3 linked regions of the Oryza sativa Japonica Group genome follow. Each later gene encodes a partner of the first gene's protein in a complex. Links are inferred from orthologs where the notes say so. Each region holds a gene or a part of one and is shown in the gene's direction. Other genes may lie near its edges.

Region 1 (5,900 bases):
GGAGGAGGTCGTCGTGAGCGGCGATGATCTTGGGCTCACGGGCAAAGTCATCCGAGGGATTTCATGGCCCTCCCTTGTTTTGGAGGTGGCGTTGCAGATATCGGCAAAGTAGGCGGTCTTGTCGAGGAGTGCCCAGGGTGGCGGCCGCCCCCGCCGGCTTTTCTTGTGAACGTCTCGGCCGTGCGCAGGAGGTCGCAGGGAGGAGTCCTTGATGGGCTTGCCAACCTCCATCTCTGATCTCTCTCTAAGACGACTTAATTAGCTTGATTGATCTTTCAAGGAAGAGGAAGAAGAGCACCACAGAAGCTGGACATACTTATATGCTGGGGGGCCGGCCTGGGCACTGGGCAGCAGTGAGTAGCAATCGGAGTCGGAGATAGTGTGTTTCCTCTCTCTCTCTCTCCAATCTCTCTTCGGCCGGTGCACAGGACAACAAAAACCGCCATCTTTGCTCTTCGCTGTGTTCTCAAGGGTGAGAAGAAACCATCCGTGTTTTTGGGAGAAATTTTCAACTCTAGGAATGACTTATTTTGTAATATTCTCTTCTCTTTCTCTTTGCATCACAAATCCACAGGTTAACAATATTAGTAACAGTTCAAGAATATGAATAAATAACCTTCTTATAGTTCAATTGAAAAATATTAGTATCAAACAAACAATAATCTCCTAGTTAGTAAAACATCCGAGGGCAACTACTTCTCACAGCTGATAATATCATTATACCATACCAATTCGTTATGTATGGATGATGGATAAGATCCTATGAACAGAGAGCCAATTTGAAACTTCCAATGGATTTATGGAACAATCCGGTTCGAATAGAAATAATGTGCTCCACAAGCACGTAAGGAGGATAGATGCCCAATTTATAGCGGCCAAGTTGATACCTCCAGCAAGCAGCTAGCTACAATGTTTTTCACACACACTCCAAAAACAATTGAGAGTCCAGAATAAGCTGATTATCTACCAAAAAAAATCTCAAACTACACAGGGCTTCTTTCTGTTAACTTCCAACATCTAAAGCTCCTGTCAAATTCATGCCTTCTAAAGCTACCTTTTCCTGCGCTTGGAAGACTTCACTGTCAACGTCCTTGGCGCTTCATCAGACATCTTAAATTCAACATACTGCTCCTGCACAACCGACCAAGGAAGAGCAGGATTCGTGTTACATATGTTCCGTTTGAAAATAATGCGAGGAATGTAAATCACGGGATTATCTGCCATTTTGGAGAAGGACAGATACAGACCTCCTCCCACTTTTTCTGGAGCTGCAAAAGCTCTTTACAGCATGCCACACACTCAGCATGGTAAGCAGCAGCCAGTTCTTTAATCAAGGCCTTCCTTTTGATTATTCCTATCACTTCAAAACACCATGGCATTATATACAAGCACAAGAATGCTGGCAACTATTTTACAAATGAAAAATGTTTTTTAGATTTTGCAAGCAATGCATCAACAGAACTCAATATATCTCTAATACTATAATGAGGCCAGTGTACCATGTGAAAATCATGGAGAGATAAAGCTTTGACATTTCATAACTCACTCATGACAATATACTAGCAAGGTAGCTAGTACATGCATAACAATTGTACTTCTATTCAGTATCTGGTAGGATAGGATACCTGCTCCAATCATTTATATAGAGTCAAATTTTTTGCAACATACTAGACTTACTCCATCCCGAATAAACTGAGATGTTGGTTCAAGAATTACCATCCTATGCACATCTCTCAGAAAGCTTTATAAGTGAACTGAATTATGGACCAAGGGCTACGAAAATTGAGGCCATGGCCATGGCATTTGATAGGATCTTTGTGCATTCCTAGTTGTGCAGCAGATGTTTATTTCGTGTGACTGTGAGATTTCCAATTTGATTCGTGGCGAATTGTTAGTTAGCAATACTAGTTTACAAAACCTGAACCCTCTAAAGCAAATCAGTATGAGTCGTGATTTGTTATACTCTAGTACCGAATAGGAGTAACCAAATCTAGAGCACGAACACAAAAGGTAACAAAAATTAAAGGTGCGTGAGAAAGAGAGAGACCCTTACTTCGGCTGGGATCGAAGTGTTGCTCGTCGGGCTTCTTCTCCCCGTTGGCCGTCGGCTCCCCGCTGCCGCTCGCGCCGTCCATGGGATGGGAGGCGGAAGATCGCCGCGGTTAGGCCTTTGCTTAGATCCAACCAAACAAGCCAACACCCAGGAAAGGGGAAGGCGACAGAGCCGAGCCGGTTCTCTGGATGTGTATTTGTTGGGATTTCTCGCTTCTAGGTCGCCGGCGAAAAGGGGCTCGCTGGCCGGAGACGAAGACGGAGACGCAGATGGAGACGAGAGTGACAATGGCGGCGGCGGACGCAACGCTCCGTCGGCCTCGAGTAGGAAAGTGAAGGAAACCAACACAAAAGAGGAAGTATATGGGCCTCAGCCCGGCCCATGTACAGTTTTTCTGCATAAGCCTCTCGAGCGGCCCAACTACTACACTTGGACTCTTTCTCTCTCATTCCACTTCTTGCTCGCCGCCGCCGCCGCCGCCGCCGCCGGCGAAGGGGATCGATCGGATGGGGACGTCGGTGCAGGTGACTCCGTTGAGTGGCGCGTACGGTGAGGGACCCCTCTGCTACCTGCTCGCCGTCGATGGCTTCCGCTTCCTCCTCGACTGCGGCTGGACCGACCTCTGCGACCCCTCCCACCTCCAACCCCTCGCCAAGTACGCTTCCACCATTTTCGCCCTAACTCTCCTCTTGGCTAGTCGGGGTCAGCTGCTTTGGTGCTAGTCTTTCTCCTTTGCCGCATGCTGCGATGAGTTCGGATGGGATGGGGATGGGGTTGCCATGCGCGCCACCTGCTCGTTCAATTGCCTACACTTGGAGACAGTGAAGGGTTCTCCGGCTCTGCTGTGATTTTGTCATCTTAGGGTTATCTGTGTTGCTATGTAACGAATGAGATCGTCGGTTTAGGAGATTGATTTGCCTCAACTGAATTGCTGAGTCCGACAGGTGTTCGGGTGTGCTTGTGCATAGTCAGGCTTGGTGCATGTTATGCACTTGTGTTGGTGGGTCCGTGTGCACGAACGCATATGCACTTCTACATTGTGCCCATGATCCTGCATACATACCATATGGACTACTTACTGATGTGTTGTTTATGTATGACCTTAATTGTTAATTAGTATGTGCCAAAGATGTAGCTCGAGTTTCTAAACCGTGCTTAATATTGCTTCTCAAGCTTGTCTTACTGGGCGTTGCCCCTCAACATTTCATGTGGTTTTTACATGGAACCTTCAGTAATTGCTTTCATTTGCTTAAATGGTGAATATCTATCTTAAGGCAATTATAGAGTGGCATGATCAAGGCAATTTTTTGCCTCCCTGTAATAGATAGCCTGCTTTCAGGTTGAACTCTGACTCATATTTATATTTATTTTTCTATGCTGAATAAACTTATTCTTGTTCGTCTTCCTTGATTGTTGAGTAATCATGGCATAGATTTAGTAGCAATTATCTCACCAGCTTGGTACTAGTAGCCTCAAAATCATGCAAAAGTTCCATTTTAAGCTCCCATGATCTTTGTTGTTCAATTATTCAAATTACACATCTGTAAAGATTGAAGGGAACACTTGAACATGTTTCAGTATTTTTATGGATTATGAATTTGATCAGTATTTTTTTTTCAGGGTTGCACCAACAATAGATGCAGTTCTTTTGTCTCATGCCGATACCATGCATCTAGGAGCTTTGCCATATGCTATGAAACATCTCGGACTATCTGCACCAGTATATGCCACAGAACCTGTATTTAGACTTGGCATTTTAACCTTGTATGATTACTTTATATCACGACGGGTAAGCTTTCTAGTGTCCATTTTAACCTCTTGTTTGTTTCATTGCATATAGTGGATCTAACCATTCTTTATTTTCCTTTGCAGCAAGTTTCAGATTTTGACTTGTTTACTTTGGACGATATTGATGCTGCATTCCAAAATGTTGTTAGATTGAAGTACTCACAGAACCACCTTTTGAATGGTCAGTAAGCATGCTGTTGATGTATATCCTTTGCTAAATTACATCCCCTTACATACTATTGATTGGCAGATAAAGGTGAAGGAATAGTTATTGCTCCACATGTTGCTGGGCATGATTTGGGTGGCACGGTATGGAAGATAACAAAAGATGGGGAGGATGTTGTTTATGCTGTTGACTTCAACCATCGTAAAGAGAGGTTAAATCCTTCCTTTGTCATTTACTTGTCATTTTAGTTTTCTCTTTATTAGCAAATAATAACAGCAATGTGCTTTTCCAGGCATTTGAATGGTACTGCTCTTGGATCATTTGTACGGCCAGCTGTTCTGATAACTGATGCATACAATGCCTTGAACAACCATGTCTACAAAAGGCAGCAGGATCAAGATTTCATTGGTACAACACTGGACATGTTATTATCATAGCTCTCTATCTCTATCTCTTTTTCAAATGCTTTCAGCTCTAGCATTACTACTATACCCACACAGCCATGGTTGCAGGTAACAGCTCATGATAATTTTGTTGGAAGCTGTTTTTTACTTATGTTTTCTCCATCAAAGTAGCACTGATGAATATATCTTCTATTTTCCAAATTTGCAACTTGGACACAACTTTTTTTATTTCTCAATTATTTTTTAGTGCTACACATTGTTGAGTTCAATAATAAACTATTAATATTTTAGACTCCAAATATATGTTATCGTGTATATGGTTTGTTTTAGTTACTGTATGGGAATCCTCTTGTGATGTCTAATTGACATCCTGTTTCATGCAGATGCATTAGTGAAAGTTCTAACTGGTGGTGGTAGTGTGTTACTGCCGATTGATACAGCTGGTAGAGTTCTTGAAATTCTTTTGATATTGGAGCAGGTGAAATCTTGAAGGTCTTGTTCTCGTACTGTTTTATTTTGTTATGTCAATAATATGTTCACCTTTTGTCTTGATTTATTGCAGTACTGGGCTCAACGGCATTTGATCTACCCTATCTACTTTCTGACAAATGTTTCTACGAGTACTGTTGATTATGTCAAGAGTTTTCTTGAATGGATGAATGATTCAATCTCAAAGTCTTTTGAACACACTAGAGACAATGCCTTCCTATTAAAGTACGAATGATTCTTGTTACTTTCCTTTTTTTCAGTTCATCGTTTTGTTTTATTCTGTGCATATTGACAATTGCTATGCATTGCAAGCCTGAAGATTCATGATGAGCTTATTATTTTACATTTCAACAGCCCAATAGACATGTTTCCTCTATTACTTTCTCCTTATGGAGTCATATTTATATTTTATCTCATTGGGCTGTCCTGTTATTACAATACTGTATTATCAGAGCCAATTCAACTGCCTCTTTTCCTGAATCAGCGCTATACTATTATTTGTTTATAAACTTCATATATAACTTTCTTAAGAACGATATTTGTATGATTGTTTTGTTTAGTTTCTACAACTTTTGTTTTTTCTGTGTTGCAGATGTGTTACACAGATAATAAACAAAGATGAGCTTGAAAAGCTGGGAGATGCACCAAAGGTTAGAGTAACATTTATTTCCTCCATACTGTCGGAAACGTGAATTTAACAAACATTTAGCAGGTGGTTCTAGCATCCATGGCAAGCTTGGAGGTTGGCTTTTCTCATGACATATTTGTTGATATGGCAAATGAAGCAAAGAATCTAGTACTTTTTACTGAGAAGGGACAGGTAAATCCATGTACTCAATATATCTGGATGGTTTATTTCTTTCTCAGCACATACATTCAATAACTAGCTACATACAAACCATTATAGCTTCAAACCTGTAAGTGACAAGTAGTCCAACACCTTGAAGGGGCCTTAGCAAATTGATTGCTACAACCTACATGAAACTTTTAAAATTTGTGT
Region 2 (6,151 bases), on another chromosome or scaffold:
CCTCTTCTTCGTTTGTTTTTTTTTATAGAAAAAACAAAGACTTTGATACGAAGACCTTGAATTAGGTAGTACCATATATAATACTATATGCGTAGTTTAGTAACGCCATGATGGGTAGCTTAAAGCTGTGTTCGGTAGTTGGAGGTGAGAAATAATCTCTCGCGCATGTAATATTTTTTAAAGTAACTTTTTCATAGAATTTCTTTTTAAAAAGCATACAGTTTAATAGTTTAGGAAACGTACGCGTAAAAACTGAGTGAGCGGAGTTGAAAAGGTTGAGTGAAGATCACAGTTTAGTGAGAACCACGATGTGAACAGGGCAACCAACAAAGGCACGTGACTACATAGGAACATTATATTAGTGTCGACGTTTGATGTCGCGATTCCGGTATTTGCATAGTATGGGGATCGTTGGTACTAGGATATACGCGAGATTTAGGTAAAAGAGACGGAGGCAAGGATTTGTATATATGTCCGGGCCCCTGAATTGTCAGGTAATAACCCTACTCATGTTGGCCGAAGCCGGTCGTTGCTCTTATTTACCATAGTCACACCAGTACAATATTTGGGGTAGCCTATCTAACTGTTGTCAATATGGTGGTCTAAAGTTCTGACTCGTAGTCGACAACAGGGTAGCCTTCCTCATCGAATCCGCATCCGGTGAGATCAAAGACAGCGCTATGTCTCTCCTAACAGCATCTGTAGACACCATAGGGGACTAGCCATGCTTATCTCTTAAGTCGATATCCAGCGTCTTGTCTTGGCGTATGTTGGCTTGTATGTTGATCTTATGTCTTGATCTATTGTTCCGTGTCCCCTCTCCTCTTAGGGGGCCTTGTATTTATACCCATAAGTGTCCCCTTGTCCAAGTAGAACTAGGAAAACCAATATGGATACTCCGAGTAGTCATTGCCATTTTCATGTAGAACTCTATTCATCCTTCCTTATACGGAACTCCTCCTATATCCGAAGGTTGTTTCCGTATAAGACATGGTATATGGTGGGTCCTGTCGAGATTAAGTCAACTACTATTAGGTATGTGGTATCCATAACCCTGACAATTAGCATTTTTGTGCATTGGTTTAATCGGTTTGAAGGAAACAAAATGGATTCCCAAAAATAATTTCTACAGTTCCCATTCGGTTTGTATAAATAAGTTATAGGAAAACCAAACGAATTTTTTCTTTTCCTTTAAGTTGTAGAGAAAAAACATAGGAAGACTTCCGTTCACTCAAATCTTTTGAAAAAATTCATATGAATTGATACGTGCATTTATTTTTTTTTCACTTTCCTATTTCTATGGATTAAAATTCCTCAAACTGAATAAACTAGCCCTCGAATCTAACGGGTTGTTTGGATCAGGGACTAAAATTTTAGTCCCTATCACATCGGATATTTAGACACTCATTAGAAGTATTAAATGTAAATTAATGACAAAACTCATACCATACCTGGACTAATTCGCGAGATAAATCTATTGAGCCTAATTAATCCATGATTAGTCTATGTGATGCTACGGTAAACATGTGGTAATTATGGATTAATTAGGCTTAAAAATTTATCTCGCGAATTAGCTCTCATTTATACAATTAGTTTTATTATTAGTCTAAGTTTAATACTTCTTATTAGTGTCAAAAACATCCGATGTGATAGAGACTAAAATTTTAGCCCTTGGATCCAAACACCACCTAAGACACCTATAGATCAATGCAAGGACGGTTGCGTACGTCAAGCCTGCACGACTCAACTTCTTCTCCCCATTAGTCTAGCTCGATGGGCTAGCTCCATGCCTGCTATCGAATTTCTCTGGGTCTATTTGGTAGAGCTCCAACTCCTAAATTTAGCTCCAGACGTTAGGTCTAGAATTTAGTTGTGGAGCAGTCTAAACCCAGCTCTACATCTCTAGTTCATTTTGTGAGAGTTCCCCATCCAACTCTGATCCATTTAAGTTGGAACTGAAATTGTTAGGCTAGGCTCTAGCTCTAGAAGACGTGAAGCTGGAGCTGAGTTGTGCTAAAGTTATGCTCCAGCTCCATGATATCTCAACCAATATAATTCGTTTCCTTCAACTCCAATATGGGATATCTTGATCCCTCAACTATTAAAACCGATGCAATTTGACTCCCTCAGCAGTTTTGGAGGACGGTTTCACGGACGTGAGTGTTGACATGGAGTTTAGATGGCATTAGAATTAAAAAAAAATATGTGTGTGAGCCCCATTCGTCATTCACACAATAAAAAATATGAGGCCCCCGTGCCATCTCCCCTCTATCCTTCTTGCTCTTCCCTCTTTCTCCCTTCTCTCTCTATGTTTCTCTTCCTCTCCACTTCGGTGCAGGATCTGGAGCAGTGTTGGCGGCGAAGGGCCGAGGGCTAGAAATCCCGGTAATTGCGGTTCAAGATACAAATTAGATTGGTTAAGGGAGCTAAAGTGAACTTACTGTCCAGCTCCAGGGCTGCTTGGACTGCAAGCCCTTCCGGGCCCAACTTAATTCAGCCTGCTTCGAGTCCGCCGTGTCCAAAGCCCTAAAAGGTCTTTCCTTCTCCGCTCGTCAGCAAGTGAAGGGGAAAATGGCGTCGTCCGTCGCCGCCGCCGCCGCACCGACCGCCGGGGGGCCGCCGGGGAAGCGGCAGGCCTCCGGCGGGCGGGAGGGAGACCAGCTCATCATCACTCCGCTGGGCGCCGGCAACGAGGTCGGCCGCTCCTGCGTCTACATGTCATTCAAGGGCCGCACCGTCCTCGTGAGCATCCAATCCCCCCACTCTTTCCCTCCAAACCCTAGCTTCCACTGCTTTCTTTTTTATGATAATTTCTGCTTTTGTTTGTCATGTGGTGTGGTGTGGTTTGGATTCTTGGATAGTTCGATTGCGGCATCCACCCGGCTTACTCCGGCATGGCGGCGCTCCCCTACTTCGATGAGATCGATCCCTCCACCATTGATGTCCTCCTAATCACCCAGTACTTATTCCCCCCACTCTCTTTTCACCCTTTTTCTTTTATTTTCTTTGCCCCTTCTGTCAAATCTGTGCGTCTCTTGCTTAACTTCGCCCTTAAAATTTGCAGCTTTCACTTGGACCATGCTGCCTCTCTTCCCTACTTCTTGGAGAAGGTAATGTTCCACCATCTTCCGTTTTTTTGCTTCGACAGTAAGTGCTCAGCTATTGCCCTGATACCATTCAGCATCCTCAAGTTGCTCTGGTTTTATTTGCAGACGACATTCAAGGGGCGCGTGTTCATGACCCATGCCACAAAGGCCATCTACAGGCTGCTCCTTTCCGATTATGTCAAAGTCAGCAAAGTTTCTGTGGAGGATATGCTGTTTGACGAGCAAGACATTCTTCGTTCCATGGATAAAATTGAGGTATTTTATCTCCCTGAATGGATTTAAATTGCCTATATAGCAGTACAGCACTTTGTCGACCCCTTTCAAATGCATATGTTAGAACAAATTTGAATGGACAGAAATCCTCTAGATGGTTGATAATCAACTGAGAAACCTGTAACATCTGATTGTTGCTTTGTAAACATTGACCATTTCCTTCCATATAGCATATTGTTGATTCTTCTTGTGATGATCGAAAGCTTGTATGTATTTCATGGAGTGAATGAATACTTTTGTTAACATAAAAATGCCTTGCAGGTCATAGACTTCCACCAGACATTGGAAGTTAATGGCATACGCTTCTGGTGCTATACTGCTGGCCATGTACTTGGCGCTGCAATGTTCATGGTGGACATTGCTGGGGTTCGCGTTCTTTACACTGGTGACTACTCCCGTGAGGAAGATCGCCACCTGAAAGCTGCTGAACTTCCCCAGTTCTCCCCTGATATTTGCATTATCGAGTCAACTTATGGCGTGCAGCAGCACCAACCCCGCCATGTACGAGAGAAGCGCTTCACTGATGTAATACACACGACCGTCTCGCAGGGTGGTCGCGTTCTTATCCCAGCCTTTGCTCTTGGAAGAGCTCAAGAGCTGCTACTTATCCTGGATGAGTATTGGGCCAACCACCCAGAGCTCCATAAGATTCCAATCTATTATGCCTCCCCTCTTGCCAAGAAATGCATGGCTGTCTACCAGACATACATCAACTCCATGAATGAAAGGATTAGGAACCAGTTTGCACAATCTAATCCCTTCCATTTCAAGCATATTGAGTCTTTGAATAGCATAGATAACTTTCATGATGTGGGTCCATCAGTGGTTATGGCAAGCCCAGGTGGTCTCCAGAGTGGCCTCTCCAGGCAGCTCTTTGACAAATGGTGCACAGATAAGAAGAATTCATGTGTTATTCCAGGTTATGTTGTGGAAGGCACCCTTGCAAAGACCATTATTAACGAGCCAAGAGAAGTGACACTGGCGAATGGGCTCACTGCTCCTCTTCATATGCAGGTCCACTATATTTCCTTTTCTGCTCATGCTGATTTCCCTCAGACAAGCACCTTCTTGGATGAGCTCCAGCCACCCAACATTGTTCTTGTACACGGGGAAGCAAATGAGATGTCAAGACTTAAGCAGAAGCTTATTTCTCAGTTTGATGGGACAAATATAAAAGTTGTTAACCCCAAGAATTGCCAATCAGTGGAGATGTATTTCAGTTCTGAGAAAATGGCCAAGACAATTGGCAGGTTGGCTGAAAAGGTACCGGAAGCTGGAGAATCAGTTAATGGCTTGCTTGTAAAGAAGGGATTCACATATCAAATTATGGCTCCTGAGGATCTCCGTGTGTACACGCAGCTATCTACAGCTAACATTACCCAAAGGATTGCCGTCCCATATTCTGGTTCTTTTGAAGTCATAAAGTACAGACTGAAGCAAATATATGAGAGCGTGGAGTCATCAACAGAGGAGTCTGATGTTCCAACATTGATTGTGCATGAGAGAGTGACCATTCGCCTGGAATCAGAAAGCTATGTTACATTGCAGTGGTCGTCTGATCCTATCAGTGATATGGTGTCTGATTCTGTGGTCGCCATGGTCTTGAACATAGGCCGTGAAGGTCCCAAAGTTGTCCCAGTTGAAGAAGCAGTGAAGACACAGGAAGAGACGGAAAGGGTGGCCCAGAAGGTAGTTTATGCTCTTATGGTGTCACTTTTTGGTGATGTCAAAGTTGCAGAGGAAGGGAAACTTGTTATATCTGTGGATGGACAAGTAGCACACTTGGATGGGAGGAGTGGTGGTGTTGAATGTGAAAATGCTACACTGAGAGAAAGGATCAAGACTGCATTCCGTCGTATACAGGGTGCTGTGAGACCAATCCCGCTTATATCTTCTTGAGCTGAAGGCGTTAAAGTTACGCTTAAACGTGTCCAATGTTTCCTAGATGAACTTAGTAGCATTACCTGTCTGCACATGATGAGCAGGCATTTTCATCCTGCTTCAAATGCCTGTCTAATACAGCATGATGTGTTGTAGATCACTGCTCTGGGCCATCTTAGTGCCGTTGAAATAAACTCCAGCTGTAACATTTTGATTTTGTAGCCATTTCTAACTGTTACTCATTTCCTGTGAAATTGTTCTTAGCTTCTCTGTTCTTTTCCAGATATTCTGTTTGCCTGCTATTCATTTGTCCAGTTGGTGATGTACTATGCAATCTTAATGGAAACTTTTGGGTCTCAATGACGAATCTGATTGAGCTGAACTTCCAGAGTTCTTTTCTGGTCAGATCAGCAGGATCAGTAAACCAACATTCGTAATACAATCATCACATCAATAATCTACACACCACCCATAATCACTCTGTAAAATCCGGCCTTAGTACTGTACTCCTCCCTGCACAACCAAATTAATAATCTATACAGTAATCAACAAGCGAAATGAATAAGCAATTAATCAGCCATCTTCACTGACTAATTCTTGTTAGGACGACCACACGCAAAGCAAGACAGCAACTTGGAAGCAAAGGAGCTAGAGCCTGAGGACGACGTCGACGGCGGCGGCGGCGGCTTCACCACCGTGGGGATGTGGGACCCGTCCTCGCCGCACTTCCTGCAGCGGTCGCACTCGTCCATCCATGCCTTGAAGGCGGCGTTGCAGTAGCTGGCCGCCTCCGCCACCGTCATCCCCTCCACCAGCTTGCGCGGGTACACGTCCTCGTCGGCGTGGTCGCCGTTGAGCACCGCCCCCAGCTGCACCAGCTCCTCCTGGAA
Region 3 (6,050 bases), about 8.9 Mb from region 1:
GCTCATGAATTTCGTACACATTGGATATACACCACACGAAAGCATATCCTCATATCCTTCTTCTAGTCTCAATTTCATTTTAAGACAGTCGAATTGAACATGAGAAAGCAGCAAATTAAACATCCAAATCACCAATTGCAACACAGATATGTAGTTAATTAACACATATTGCACATATCTCCATATCGATTGGTGTTTCATTTATTATCACATAATTTTTGATACTAAAGAAGCTCACAATACAACAGAAAGGGGGGGAGAGGAACTTACCCAGCGACCATCACCACCGGAGCAGCTAGGTCTTACTCGGCGGCGGCGGCGGCGGCGCCTTGGGCTTGGAGAAGTCGGAGATGTCGCTCCTGGAGAACCACTTCTCCCAGTTCCTCCCGTCGGCGTGCCTGTACTCGACGTGCGCCAGGGTGCCCGGGTCGACGCAGGCGGCGGTGACGGCGACGCCGTCGGGGTTGGACCGCGGGGTGTAGAAGGAGGTGATGCCGCAGACCCTGCAGAACGTGTGCTTCGCCGTGTGGGTGCCGAAGGTGTAGGTGGTGAGGGACTCGCCGGCGCCGGCGGCGAGGGTGAACTTGGAGGCCGGGACGACGAAGTGGGCGTTCCCGCGCATGGCGCAGTCGGAGCAGTTGCAGATCCACACCACCACGCTCGCCGGCGCCTCCGCCCGCCACCGCACCCGCCCGCAGTGGCAGCCGCCGCTGTGCACCACGTCCGCCGCCGCCGCCGCGCTCATCGTCGCCGTCGTCGCCTCGTGGAAAGAGGAAAAGAAAAAAGGGAAAATTCGGAGAAGAAAGAAGCGGGTGGGATTTTCTCGATGAACAACTGGTCCACGTGGGCGCGTTGACTAGAGTGAGACCAAGGCAAGCAGTGGCTGGGCTTTTTTGTGGGCCAAGATTGATATGGGCTTAATATATGGACTCGAGTTGACTGGCCCATGGGCTCACACTGATATGGGCTTACTGAGCACTGGGCCTACGGCCCACAAAAGCCCATGAGGCAGCCCAACCAGCTCGCGACCTCGTCGGCGGCGGAGAGAGCAAGCGGCCTTCGTGCGGGTGGCGGTGGCGGCGGCGCGGCGAGGAAGGCGGCGGAGAGGCAACTGAGGCGTGGTTGAGGGATTCTGGCGTGGAGCAGCGCCGGGGGAGAGGGTAGAAGCGGCGGCGGCGCCATGGACATCGAGTGCCTTGTGCTAGGTACCCTTCGTCGTCCTCCACTCCTCTCTCTCCCTCTCCGCTTCTCGCACGGATTTGATTGATTGATGGGAATGATGCGTGGATTGATGGCGATGGCGATGGCGCAGGGGCGGGGTAGGAGGTAGGGAAGAGCTGTGTGGTGGTCACCTTCGGCGGTGAGAAGCGCGTCATGTTCGACTGCGGCATGCACATGGGCCACCACGACAACCGCCGCTACCCGGACTTCGACCGCAGTGGCACCCGCCGCTGTGCACCACGTCCTCCGCCGCCGCGCTCATCGTCGCCGTCGTCGCCTCGTGGAAAGAGCAAAAAAAAATTGGGAAAATTCGGAGGAGGAAGAAGAGGGTGGGATTTTCTCGATGAACAATTGGTCCACGTGGGCGAGTTGACTAGGCTCCATTCGTTTCCACTTAAAAAAAGTGGATTAAGTTTTGGATATTCGTGGCACGCTTTTTAAACCGTTAAACGATGTGTTTTGTGCAAGAATTTTCTATATGAAAGTTGTTCTAAAATATCAGATTAATCCATTTTTCAAGTTTGCAATAATTAAAACTCAATTAATCTTACGTTATTATCATCTCGTTTTACGTGAAACACTTAATTTTCACATTCATCTTTATATTCATCATTGAATCCCCTGAAGATAAAAATGAATATTAAGTTTTTTTTTATGTAAAATGATGTGGTATTAACGTATATTCGATTGAGCTTTAATTATTACAAATTTGAAAAATAAATTAATATGATATTTTAGAGCAACTTTTATATATAAAGTTTTTTCGCACGAAACGAGCCGTTTATCAGTTTGAAAGCGTGCCACGAAAATCTTAGGGCCTGTTCACTTTATGCCAAAAAAAACCTTACTAAATTTTAGTAATACCAAAATTTTGGCAACAACTTGCTAAAATTTTAGTAGGATTTCTTATATAATTACTAAAATTTGACAACAAACTAAATGTAGCCACTTTTTTAGTAACTTTACTAAAATTTGGTAAGGTTAAAAATGGCTTCAAAGTGAACATGCCGTTAATCTTCATCCAACTCTTGTCGGAGAAAAGAACGGGACTAGAGTGAGACCAAAGTAAGCAGCGGCTGGGCTTTTTGGTGGGCCAAGATTGATATGGGCTTAATATGCAGATAAAGCGTTTGACTGGGCTCTGACAAGCAGGGCCCATGGGCTCACACTGATATGGGCTTACTGAGAACTGGGCCGAGGCCCACAAAAGCCCAACTCTTCTAGCCGGCAAGCCCAACCAGCCGCACGCCCTCCTCGGCGGCGCGGCGAGGAAGGCGGCGGAGAGGCAACGGAGGCGTGGTTGAGGGATTCCGGCGTGGAGCGGCGCCGGGAGAGGGGAGAAGCGGCGGCGGCGGCGGCGGCGGCATGGCCATCGAGTGCCTCGTGCTAGGTACCCTTCGTCCTCCTCGAGTTCCTCTTCTCGCACGGGTTGATTGATGGGAACCACGCGTGGATTGATGGCGATGGCGCAGGGGCGGGGCAGGAGGTGGGGAAGAGCTGCGTGGTGGTCACCTTCGGCGGCGGGAAGCGCGTCATGTTCGACTGCGGCATGCACATGGGCCACCGCGACAGCCGCCGCTACCCGGACTTCGACCGCCTCCTCGCCGACGGCGCCGCCGACTACACCGCCGCCATCTCCTGCGTCGTCATCACCCACTTGTGCGTCTGCCAAAAATCGAATTGAATTGAATCGAATTTGATCTGTAGCAGCATATCCAGTTTGCTTGCACGGTTAATAGCTTTGTGAAGTTTGTGCGTTGCAGCCATTTGGATCATATCGGAGCACTGCCGTACTTCACCGAGGTCTGCGGTTACCACGGTCCAGTTTACATGACGGTGAGTTGTAACCACTAACCAGTTCATGTTTATTTGTTCAGTATTATGATTGCGCAGCTTTGGTGTATCCGTTCCAGGTAGAATGGGGTTTCATTAAAAAAAAAGGGGCTATAGTGAGGTTGAATTTCAAATTAACTTGTCATAGGTTGGATTTTTATTCATCTTAGCTATCAAATACTAATATCCATTGAGCTTGTGAGTTGTGGCTGTCACTGCAGTACTTAATAGTGGTCATGGTCCTGCGTAAATATGTTTGATGGTCTAGGGGTTCAGTGAACTTGTTGATCTTATTGAGATGATCTTGTCAAAGTATATAATACGCAAAAGGAGATGTGCTGTGAACTGATATTGTCCATCGGTAGCATGTGAAAGCTTGATTTCTCTTGCTGAGTGATTGATCTTCATCTCATAACTTAAATCGTTGTACCTCAAGCAGTACCCGACAAAGGCTTTAGCTCCATTGATGCTGGAAGACTATCGGAAAGTAATGGTAGATCATAGAGGAGAGGAAGAGCAATATAGCTATGAAGACATCCTACGCTGTATGAGGAAAGGTAAATGTTCTGTGTTCACTTTTCACATATCTTTTACTAGTCTACTTAGATATTGTGCTGGCACACAGGTATGCATGTACGATAGTTCTCATTTGGTTATTTCATTGGACATTTCAGTTATACCATTGGACCTGAAGCAGACCATTCAAGTAGATAAGGACCTTTCGATCCGTGCCTATTATGCTGGACATGTATGTGCTGTATACTTTTCTGTCCCATATTAACTGCAGTGTTATTTTTTAAATTCTTGGAAAATTAATATTAATGTTGTTCTGTACTTTCTTAATTAGTCATCATTCTTCCACATGCAAGGTTCTAGGGGCTGCAATGATATATGCAAAAGTTGGAGATGCTGCTATTGTGTACACTGGAGATTACAATATGACACCAGATAGGCACCTTGGAGCAGCGCAAATTGATCGTCTGAAGTTAGATCTGTTGATAACAGAGTATGCTACAAATTCAAATTATAGTTATGCTCTTGTGCATCATGTTTTCCTTTTGAAATGTTGACCCAGTGATGTAGTTGTAGACTTGTAGTGAATCATTGCCACTCAGGATTAGGTTCTTTGGTATGTTTTAGCAGTAATTTTGCTGTCTTGTTTCTTATAGCTCTTTTATCTTTTGTGTGCGCTTGCGCGCGTGCTTGTGTGTCCATTAACTATCTTTATGATATCAGGTTTTCCACACAGCTACGTACCAGTAAACCAGTATCCGGTTTCTGTTGTTAACCTCTGCTTTGACCTGTATGTAGTTGGAAATCTCCTTTGTAGTTAATGATTAGGTAGGTGTATTTTGCTAAATTTTTCTTGTGATGTTTCGTTTTAATATAATCCATATTTGGTTTTTATGGAATTATGGTCTACCTTGTTCTGTACTGTTGTCTTAATGTTTTACCAATACGGAATTTGAGGTGCAGTTCTTTGGTGTATCTGTTTTATGTTCAATGTGTAAGTATTAAACTGAAGTTTTATCTGCAGATCAACATATGCTAAAACTGTGCGTGACTCGAAGCATGCCCGAGAGAGGGAGTTCTTAAAAGCAGTATGAAACCTGAACCTTCACACTACCAATTTTATTGGGGCTTTTTTTATTTGGTTTCTTTTGTAACACTTATGCAATCCCCTTGGTGATGCAAGATATGTGTTACATTTATCGATGCTGATGGTTGGGCTTGTAGCATTGTGCAAACTTAAGTAGTTTTGTACATTTCTATGGCATGAATACCTCCAGGGAGTTCATGCTCACAAAATACTAAGTACAACTTGTTATTAGCCAAGAGTTTATCCCTTTTTCAAGTTCTGATACTTGAATCATGTTGATTGTGTTGACACATTGAATCTTTATAATCTTTACTTGCAAATTTCTACTTAGTAAATTCATCACTTTAATGAGAGCGTATTTTATCTAGGTCCATAAGTGTGTTTCTGGAGGTGGTAAAGTTCTAATTCCAGCATTTGCTCTTGGAAGAGCACAGGTACTCACCACTCCTCTCTTAATTATATGTGATGATGCATTTAATTTAATGGTTAAGAGTAGGATCCTTTTGGAAAAATGTCCTTTGGAGTATGCTGTTTGAAACTTCCATAATCAGAAGTGATACACTGCTGTAATGTGGAAAACAAATTAAGATTGCCTTGAAACTCCGAAAGGGGCAAAATATAGATGTAGCTATGAACAGAGTGGCATTTTATTGAACGCAATCTCCATAGTGATATTTTATCAAAGCCTACTTTGTGGAGTGGCATATTACCAATTTTCTCCTCTAATGTGTGTCAGGAGCTATGCATACTACTGGATGACTATTGGGAAAGGATGAACCTGAAGATTCCTATTTATTTCTCAGCTGGTATGTGTCTTTGTCCAACTTTAACTTGCTTTCATGTATTTGTCCACTTTATTTATTGTTGTATTTGTTTGATAGGTTTAACCATTCAAGCCAACATGTACTACAAAATGCTTATTGGATGGACTAGCCAAAAGATCAAGAACAGCTACACAGTTCATAACCCATTTGACTTCAAGCATGGTATGTCCTTGAATAAACATTTCATTTGAATCATATGTCGAATTTCGTAGAGTGTATCTGTTTAGGGAAAACTTATAAACCTGCAGTATGTTTTCCTTTTATTTGTATATAAGAAACTATGTGGCATGCATTCATGATGCACCTTCTTTAATGAGTGTTGATAATACTGATATTGAAGATATATGCCATTGGCTCCTACATTGTACTCCCTCCGTCCCAGAATATAAGAAGTTTTAAAGTTGGACATGGTTATTAAAAAAGTAGGTAAAAGTGAATGGTAGAGGGTTGTGATTGGATGAGTAGTAGAGGTAGGTGGGAAATGTGAATGGTGGAGGGTTGTGATTGGTTGGGAAGAGATTGTTGATGGAGAAGTTGTTATATTTTGGGACAAATCCTGATGGCTAAAAATT

The links. The genes of interacting proteins can lie anywhere in the genome.
Region 2: cleavage and polyadenylation specificity factor subunit 2 (region 1) and cleavage and polyadenylation specificity factor subunit 3-I share a complex: the UniProt entries of both Arabidopsis thaliana proteins name them as parts of the CPSF complex. The link is inferred for Oryza sativa Japonica Group from reciprocal best matches to the Arabidopsis thaliana genes CPSF100 and CPSF73-I.
Region 3: cleavage and polyadenylation specificity factor subunit 2 (region 1) and cleavage and polyadenylation specificity factor subunit 3-II share a complex: the UniProt entries of both Arabidopsis thaliana proteins name them as parts of the CPSF complex. The link is inferred for Oryza sativa Japonica Group from reciprocal best matches to the Arabidopsis thaliana genes CPSF100 and CPSF73-II.

What each region holds. Positions count from the first base shown.
Region 1 is NC_089043.1:27,169,307-27,175,206, reverse strand, and holds the start of cleavage and polyadenylation specificity factor subunit 2, read left to right. Parts: upstream 1-2,484; 5' UTR 2,485-2,559; coding exon 2,560-2,708; intron 2,709-3,673; coding exon 3,674-3,842; intron 3,843-3,925; coding exon 3,926-4,022; intron 4,023-4,091; coding exon 4,092-4,218; intron 4,219-4,299; coding exon 4,300-4,415; intron 4,416-4,794; coding exon 4,795-4,889; intron 4,890-4,973; coding exon 4,974-5,125; intron 5,126-5,492; coding exon 5,493-5,550; intron 5,551-5,612; coding exon 5,613-5,720; intron 5,721-5,900. Other genes in the region: uncharacterized LOC9271620, read right to left, coding at 1,051-1,131, 1,248-1,360, 2,054-2,135. UniProt on the Arabidopsis thaliana protein: CPSF plays a key role in pre-mRNA 3'-end formation, recognizing the AAUAAA signal sequence and interacting with poly(A)polymerase and other factors to bring about cleavage and poly(A) addition. Required for antisense-RNA-mediated gene silencing.
Region 2 is NC_089037.1:36,886,877-36,893,027, reverse strand, and holds cleavage and polyadenylation specificity factor subunit 3-I, read left to right. Parts: upstream 1-2,557; 5' UTR 2,558-2,571; coding exon 2,572-2,742; intron 2,743-2,861; coding exon 2,862-2,959; intron 2,960-3,064; coding exon 3,065-3,110; intron 3,111-3,212; coding exon 3,213-3,362; intron 3,363-3,641; coding exon 3,642-5,279; 3' UTR 5,280-5,543; downstream 5,544-6,151. Other genes in the region: non-specific phospholipase C4, read right to left, coding at 5,852-6,151. UniProt on the Arabidopsis thaliana protein: Component of the cleavage and polyadenylation specificity factor (CPSF) complex that play a key role in pre-mRNA 3'-end formation, recognizing the AAUAAA signal sequence and interacting with poly(A) polymerase and other factors to bring about cleavage and poly(A) addition.
Region 3 is NC_089043.1:18,258,324-18,264,373, forward strand, and holds the start of cleavage and polyadenylation specificity factor subunit 3-II, read left to right. Parts: upstream 1-2,456; 5' UTR 2,457-2,586; coding exon 2,587-2,611; intron 2,612-2,693; coding exon 2,694-2,880; intron 2,881-2,984; coding exon 2,985-3,057; intron 3,058-3,493; coding exon 3,494-3,611; intron 3,612-3,728; coding exon 3,729-3,802; intron 3,803-3,923; coding exon 3,924-4,060; intron 4,061-4,591; coding exon 4,592-4,655; intron 4,656-5,022; coding exon 5,023-5,088; intron 5,089-5,390; coding exon 5,391-5,460; intron 5,461-5,535; coding exon 5,536-5,640; intron 5,641-6,050. Other genes in the region: uncharacterized protein, read right to left, coding at 296-745. UniProt on the Arabidopsis thaliana protein: Component of the cleavage and polyadenylation specificity factor (CPSF) complex that play a key role in pre-mRNA 3'-end formation, recognizing the AAUAAA signal sequence and interacting with poly(A) polymerase and other factors to bring about cleavage and poly(A) addition.